Linked DNA regions of Chlamydomonas reinhardtii. The protein of the gene in region 2 interacts with the protein of the main gene of each other region in a pairwise test. Links are inferred from orthologs where the notes say so. Each region holds a gene or a part of one and is shown on either strand. Other genes may lie near its edges.

Evidence for each region.
Region 1: the proteins of CHLRE_09g387393v5 (region 2) and CHLRE_09g404400v5 interact in a two-hybrid assay, tested with the Arabidopsis thaliana proteins (2 studies listed by BioGRID). The link is inferred for Chlamydomonas reinhardtii from reciprocal best matches to the Arabidopsis thaliana genes HD1 and SAP18.

The regions. Positions count from the first base shown.
Region 1 is NC_057012.1:454,500-458,273, forward strand, and holds CHLRE_09g404400v5 (uncharacterized protein), read right to left. Parts: upstream 2,881-3,774; 5' UTR 2,616-2,880; intron 2,463-2,615; 5' UTR 2,365-2,462; coding exon 2,116-2,364; intron 1,824-2,115; coding exon 1,677-1,823; intron 1,404-1,676; coding exon 1,302-1,403; 3' UTR 736-1,301; downstream 1-735. Other genes in the region: CHLRE_09g404450v5 (uncharacterized protein), read right to left, coding at 1-102; CHLRE_09g404350v5 (uncharacterized protein), read left to right, coding at 3,286-3,339, 3,490-3,602, 3,772-3,774. UniProt on the Arabidopsis thaliana protein: Links the histone deacetylase complex to transcriptional repressors bound to chromatin. Involved in the tethering of the SIN3 complex to core histone proteins.
Region 2 is NC_057012.1:3,196,559-3,200,465, forward strand, and holds the start of CHLRE_09g387393v5 (uncharacterized protein), read right to left. Parts: upstream 2,692-3,907; 5' UTR 2,565-2,691; coding exon 2,363-2,564; intron 2,165-2,362; coding exon 2,031-2,164; intron 1,940-2,030; coding exon 1,864-1,939; intron 1,506-1,863; coding exon 1,420-1,505; intron 1,069-1,419; coding exon 979-1,068; intron 433-978; coding exon 277-432; intron 57-276; coding exon 1-56. Other genes in the region: CHLRE_09g387430v5 (uncharacterized protein), read left to right, coding at 3,299-3,538, 3,764-3,907. UniProt on the Arabidopsis thaliana protein: Responsible for the deacetylation of lysine residues on the N-terminal part of the core histones (H2A, H2B, H3 and H4).

The DNA.
Region 1 (3,774 bases), about 2.7 Mb from region 2:
GCGTGAGGTGGGGCGCGCTGGGGACTCCTCAGGTGCAACCGACCAGTCCGTCGCGGCGCTCCGACGGTCCGCCGCGCAGAGCTGGGCTCGTTTCCAGGTCATCGAGGGAGATACCCGAATACGGCACACGCTCCTTCTTGAGAAAGCCCGCGCTGTGCTGCCCAAGTGGAAGCTCGCGCATTGATCCTCGACGGCGCTGGGGTCCACACGGTGTGTCACATCCTTCTGCTGCTGCAGTAGACATCCACTGCTAGCACAGCCACCGCGCGTGATGAAGTGGGAGGAACTCGACATTTCAGCGCCTTGACGCGAAAACGTGCCGGCCGGCAAGTGGGCGCCCCGCAGGCGCGGTTTGACGTTGCTAGAGATTCATACGTCTGTGACCAAAAAATCGTTCCGATCCAATACTACGCATCAACCCTCGACAAGGTAGAAGGACCCAATCGGCTGTTCGCGTTTCAAAGTTTGAAGGCAGATCGCCAAGCGACGCCGGGTGTAAGCAAAAAATGTGCAAGTCGTATGTGTTGCGCGCTCACGTTGCGGCCCCTTCGCTAAAAAGCGCAGTTGCCACCGCATGCCAAAATGCGGCTCTTCTTAAGCATCATCCGCGGCCACTGGAAGCCCAATCGGCGGCTCAGAACAGTTCCACTGGCGTGGCGCATAACAGCTGCGGGCTCAGCGTGCCTCAGGGGCTCGCAGGGCTTGGGGACATGCGCCAACACATGCCGGCACCGAACTTTCTAGTGATTACAAGCCAGTGCCTGTATCTTTCCGAACAAGTTGACCATTCCAAATATCCTTGTGATGTCGCCCGGCATGCTGTCCCCACGCCTTCCTCCACTTGTCCCTCGCACTCGCTACAGTGCACGAAGTGCAACTCCGCGCCCGCCCCCACGGTCCGCCCCCATACAGATGACTCTTCTGCATCGGCCTCCTCTGATAGTCGAACACGAACACTCACTTCCATTCCCTCAATTGCCCGCTTTGACACTAGGGAGGCCATTAACACTACGTACACACTGGGGACACCCACAAGACGCGCGAGTAGCGTTTGCACCTCCTCCTGGCTACCAGGGACACCCACGGCAAGGTAGGTCCAAGAGTACTCTCCAAAAACCAGCCTGAGCAGCACTCAAGTGCACACTCCCGACGCACTCCCCAACCAGTGTACATCCAGTGATCAGGATGACGTCCTGCGCCACCTGCTTCCACCAGCGCAAGACCTTCGGTATCCCGCCTTACCTCCCCCACACCTGTCCACCACAGGTAAAGATAAGGTGAAGATGACACAGGCATCGTCTTCAGTAGATGGAGACGTCTAGGTAGTCGCCTGTCTGGAAGTTGAGGCTGCGCAGCGTCTTGGTGTCGTCCTCGCCCGGCCGCGTGGCGTGAACCACGCCCACCTGCACGGAGCGCCAGGGGGAGAAGTGTCACAGAGCCGGGCCATGCGGGCAAGGGCGCCAAATCACATGGAGCTCTTTGCTCCTCAGGCTTCATTCAACCACGCATAGCCGCAGCGCTGGTACAGCATCCAGATTCCGCGCCCGCGCCCTGAGCCGCTCCAGCCTGCAGGCACGCCCACCTGCACCCGGTCGCCCGACACGCAAACCCCCTCCCCCTCCCCAGCAATCCCCGCCACCCTGGTCAACCCCCGCATCCCCCACACATCACCCCACCTGTCGCATGACGTTGCGCCCCTTGCGGTCGGGGTACACGAACGCGAAGCTCATTCGCGCGTTGCGGGCCCGGGCGGCGGGGTTGGCCTCCTTGATGAGGTCGGACAGCTCGCGCAGGTCGGCGTCCATCCAGGTGTAGATGGCAATCTGCGGAGGTGGAGGCGAAAAAGGACAAGATGGGGTTTGCGAGCGCATGCCTTGTCAAGTTAGGTAGCAAAGTGTGAACAGGTCAGGAGGCACTAAGCTTGGCAAGGTGGCGCATGCGGGGCTTGCGGACCCTGCACGGGCAAGCCTGTCCGCTCAACCCACGGCCGACAGCGCGCCCGAAGGGTCTCCTGCCCTCGGAGATTGTGTCGCCCAGCATCCTCCCCGCCGCAGCTCACCAACCTATGACCTGATCCCCTTTTCCTGATGCCTTTCCAGCCCCACTACCGCGCACCTCGTCGGGCAGCTTGGCCCGGTCCGTGAAGTCCTCCAGCTTGTGGTGGCCGCCCTGCTTGGGGAACACCCGCATCAGCAGCGGGCAGGTCTTCTCCCGATCAATCTCCAGAGCTGGCGCAGCGGGCTGCGAGGCGGCGGGCGGCGGACCGCGGGGCCCCGGGCCGCCGTAGGGCCCGCCGCGGGGGCCGTCGTTGAAGCGCGGCCCCCCGCGCGGCCCGTCCCGCCAGTCTTGCCCGCCCCGGTACATGGCTGCCATGCAGCGTGCTGGGGACTGCTGAGAGGGCGGGGCTGCTGGAGGTGGCAGCTATGTGGGCGCGGCTGGCACGGACTCCTTGGGCTGGGCTCCTGTATGCGGGCAGCGCGTGTTGCAGCTCGAGGGCACGGTTGTGCGCAGGTGTGCTCGCTGCGCGAGTATGCGTACCGTGTCGGGTTGGTGGGCAAGCGCAAACCCACCCCATACCCAGTGCAAGCCCGCCCTAGTCTACATCCATGGCATACCCTCAGATCGTCTGCGCCTTGGTGGTGCTCGCCAAGCGCCAGGGACCAGCCCACACAAGCTGGGATCTCTCTCAACAGGTGCTATTGTAATTACGCCAAGCCTTAAAGCACTTTAGTAGCTGGTCAAAAGCAATTTCAGAAGCAACTCAGAGGCAATGGACTGCGCAGCGTGCAACCAATTTTGCGGGCAGGTTGGTGCGCCACTCAGTAGCAGCTGCTCAGCACGTATTCAATGCTTTGCTATGCTCTAGGTAAGGGGAGGTTAAACAGCGCTATTCTTCAGTTGGGATGAGGAATGCAATGCTCTAAACCCCTCCCCATGGTTTGAGCAGTCATGTAATTCTATGAGCTAGGATCATGTCCTTCAACTATTCATAGGTCCTGGGCTGGCAGTTTGCCCTTTCGCAGCACCGATCCTTACCGGGGCCCCTCTGTTTCTAGAACCAAGGTATTCACCTTGAACACTGACATGACAGTCATCAAGACAAACATTGGAAATACAGGAATGTGCATCGGGCCGCCGTTGATTGTGCGTCCGCATTCCTGAGTGTCGCCCGGCGCCAACTCTTCCCCGGCGTTGCTGGGCGTGCAGCTGCTGGCGATCCACAAAGGGGCTATAGGCTGAAACAAAGGTTGTAGAGAGTGTGGCAGGCTCTACCGTTCTAGGAAAATGGACCTGGAGGCAGCTCAAGCGGCGGTGGAACGGGCGTGCGAGGAGTTCAAGGTGTGGCGGGGCGAGGGGGGTGTTGCGCGGGCTGACGGGTTGGGATTGAAGAGGGGCCACGGAAGCGGCACCCAGACAGAATAGGCAACTGGTCCGTGGACCATTCCCCGTCGCCTGCACACGCACGCGCGCTGCCTTGCGGTGTCGCAGGTTCCCGCCACCGCCGCTGCCGCCTCGGCGGTCCTGCTGCAGTTTCGCTCCTCCCCCGGTGTGCTAGGCGCCTGCCGCCACATCTTGGACCGCTCACACTCAATAGATGCACGGTAAGGGATGAGGGGAGCACCTTGCTCGGGCTCGGTAGGCTTAGCGGGGGCGGACGGGTTACCGTATGAACCCCGCGCGTGTTTAGTTCCCTCTGCGGCCCCGTGCTGTGATTCCCATCCGTCAAAGTTTCTGACCTGCTCCTGCATCCTGTACGGTGTGCCGCCGCAGCTT
Region 2 (3,907 bases):
AGCGAGTCGGCGCCGCAGCACATCACGATGGCGCCGGGCTGGTACATCTCCATCACCTGTGGCGACACAATGTGGACACCGACAACAAAGACTGACACGGGATCACGGACATGGCCACTCCCCGCATTCTTGCCGCTTCCTGAGTACTGTCTGTCGGAATGCCTGCATGTCTCGGACGCTTACAACACGTGAACGCCACCCCCTCCCGCGCGGCATGTGTTCATTCCCGTCTTTCATGGCACGGCCAAACCCTCCTCTCCCGCCCTCCCCCTCCACCTTCTGCATGATGGGCTCGTACAGCAGCTTGTAGCTGTCGTCGTCCATTCCGTCCTTAAGCGGCACGTTCACCGTGTAGTACTTGCCCTTGCCGTACCCGATGTCGTCCAGCGCGCCGGTGCCCGGAAAGAACTCGCCGTACTTGTGGAACGACACCTGGGGTTCGGCGGCCGTTGCGAGCACCGCGTTGGGAGCTACGCTACGATGCCTATGGAACCGCGGGGCAGGCCGCTAGCGTGCCTTCCCGACCTCCCTGCCGTCGCGCCCCCGTCGCGTGCCTCCCTCCTCCCGGAATCTGCTGCAGTCCGTTGACCGCACATCCCACACTCCAGCTCCAGTCCGCTCTGTGCCTTCGTCGCTGCGGCCGACATGCCACGGACCCACTCCCTTGCCCCAGTGCCATCGGCAGTCTGGTTGCTGCGTCTACCCTTACACTTGCTGGCCTTTCCCCCAGCTATCCCAAACTAAAGCCGCCGCCGCCACCCACAGCCCCGCTGGCTCAGCGCTACGCCAAGCTCCTGCATACTTCCTTCAGCTCCAGCCCCAGCCGCTGTCAGCCCGAATCCTGGCCTCAGACACCGCTCCCCCTTGGGCTCTTGGGCTCCGGCCAGCCGTTGTTAACCTCTTCCCCAGCCTCGGACACCCTGCTCCCAGCTTGGGCTCCGACCCGACTGCCCCTGCCCGCCGCACCCCCCCCCTCACCGTCATGACGCGGTCCGTCAGGTAGAACGCCTCCTCCACGCCGTCGCCGTGGTGGATGTCAATGTCCACATACAGCACACGAGCGTGCGTCTGCAGCCACACACACAGACATAGCGCGGCGCGCGTTCAGAGAGGGGGCACACGGGGTAACCGCCGCAGCGCGGGCAAAGCTTCCTCTTCGCTGCCTCAGACCGCCTGCTGAGGCCCCAGGCCACGAGCAGCCGACTCGCTGCAGTCCTCCGCAACCGTGTCCTCCACGCGTGCCCTCCCTTCCCTGGTCTCCTCCGCTAGCGCCACCCCAAACGCCACTCATGCACATACAGCACCCCGTCCCTTCGCCCAACGCGCGGCCCCCCGGGCCGCTTGTTTCACTCCAGTTCCTCTGCTTTGCTCAGTCACCCCTTCAGGCTCAGCCGCCGTTCAGTAAAACCCTTCGCCCACCTTGAGCAGCTCCAGAATGGCCATAACGATGTCGTTCACGTAGCAGAAGCCGCTGGCCTCCGCCTTCTTGGCGTGGTGCATGCCGCCTGCAGGGCGGAGCAAAATGCGCCAATGCGGGCCGCGGCTCAGCAGCCCGGATGGAACGCGGCTGGCGTCCTTCTGCGCTACAGCGCGTCCCCCAGACCCCAAGCTGCATGGAGCGCCCCCGCGCGCGAGTGCTGCTGCTGCGGTCGGCCATAGACACGCGGCGGCAGCCCAAGAGCCGGGGATGCTCCTGAAGAGCCTCCGACGGGCACATGTGCCCGCCTACCGTCCGCAAGGACGACGCTCTGCAAACGTGTCACACTAACACATTCACGCCCCCCGCCGTTGATAAGGAGCGTGCCAAGGCCCGGGCGCAAGCGTCATAATATCTGTCGCCGTGCTGCAGGTCCGCTGGCTCACCCGACCAGTTGAAGGCTATCTCCGCGTTGCCGCTGGCCAGTTGCGCCGCGCCGTCCACTGAGCCACCCGAGTACGTCTACAGGGTGTTCGTTGCACGCACGAGTTAGCCGTGGGTTCCATCGCAGCTCATCAACCCGGCCGGCACATCGCATGCCCCCCCACCTCACCTGGCAATACTCATACATGCCGTCGAAGACCGGGCAGTCAGCCTCTCCCGCAATGCCCATGTTGAAGCGACGTAGCTGCATCATGTTCTCATCGACCGTGTTGGGCGTCACGCCGCGCAGAAAATTGATGTAATCTGAGTCGGGGTTCACAAGGCGGGAATGAGAAGCCTGGTGGGCCCTTGACCTTAATAGCAGCATGGCAAACGAAGCTGAAAACATAGTATGAGTCTAGTGACGCTTATGGAGGCCACCAGCGGAGCCGGCAGCACCGCCCTCTTTCCCCGCCCTGCTGTGCGCTGCGTCGCCCGCCGGTCAGCCCTCTCCACTCGCACCGTCCGCGTGGAAATCCGTAAGCTCCTCAAACTCCCGAGGACGTGGCCGCTGCACCATCATCTTCTTTGTGAGCCCGTAACTGTCAACCAGCGAGTAGCACATTCGCGCTCTGTGCGGGCGCATAGGGTTGCCCCCGCCATAGCAGTAATTTCCTATCTCTTCATCGTAGAAGTAAGCCACAACCTTCTCGGCGCTCTTCATTTCGGCCTATTGCGAAAGGGCGGTCAGAAACTGGTTTTCAACAGCAGTGGCTCTTCTGCAGTTCAGTAAGACAGTCGTAAGCACGCGCTATGTAGGATCCGCCTAGTCTAGTAGCCCACTGCCGGATTCGGCACGTCCAATCGCGGAAGCGCCCATGCAACCTCGCAACAGAGACTGCCATGTCTACTAGACACAGCCTCGTCGCCACATTCCGTTCCTGGGCTTATGCAACCCAGCTTTGGCCTTTTGGCGGCGGCACAAGGCAGCTGGCAGCAGTAGGGCTCTCTACTGTCTACATCGCCCCGAGCCCAGTTCTCGGCCCTTGTCTCTTCCATGTACATTTTCAGTGCTGAGAAGGTGTCAGGTGTTGCTGTGCTGTGAAACAAGGCTGAGGGCGCTACACTTTGCATCGGAAGTCTGCCAGAAGCAACTCCGAAATCACCCCAGCCAGTGCTGAGACCTCAGAGTAAACCTAGTCAGTGGAAATTGAACGTTTATGAGGCTGAAGTGACGTGTGCCTGTGTTGACCCAGGGGTCTGACTCAGAAGTCACCTAGAAGTCCGCGCCACCTCCGTGCACTTGTCTTGCCAGCCCGTTTAGCCCTCTGTGTGTTACCCCCGCGATGCCCCTTGTCCGCACGCAGGTATTGGCGGTTACCAGGGAAGGCGTCGTGCATCTGGATATCTCAGATCGCAGAGCACATTGCCAATCGGTTGCCAGAGAATGAGATCCCCATGACGCTGCCTGACGGAGCCACAACAACCCTGTCCTGCGAGCCCCGGCACAGGACCATCAACCCGTCCAAGTCGTGCCCTCAGAACGCCTACAGCAAAAGCTGGTGTGAGCCCGACAGCCTGGAGAACAATTCATGGGGGCCGCAAGCGTTTGAGCTGGCCGTGCAGTGCAACGTCGTGGCGCGCTGCAGGTGGCTGGTGTCGCACTCTTGCGGCTACGAGCCAGTCAAAGCATTGACGGTGGGTCTTGAACCGGTACTTTTGTATGACGCTGACCCGTCGCAATATGCAGGGAACGGTGGGAACTGGGAAGCGTAGCACGGAAGTGCGCTGTACGCATGCAAGACCTCGACCGATGCTTTTCGTCATCCTTTACCTGCTTCTACATCCGTGTTCGTACATCTGTCTCGCCGTGACCGCTGCTTGCGTGTCTTGTTCGGCCTCTGTGCATGGATGCGTGGACAGGTCGCAGCGGACCACAGACACACGGCAGCCGCCGAGTACCTGGTCATGCACCTGCACGTGCACCTGCGACAGGGGGCCAAGGCGGCGGCGTGGAACAGCCACTCACCGCTAGCGTTGTGGCTGGTGGGGCGCTGCGAGCCACGA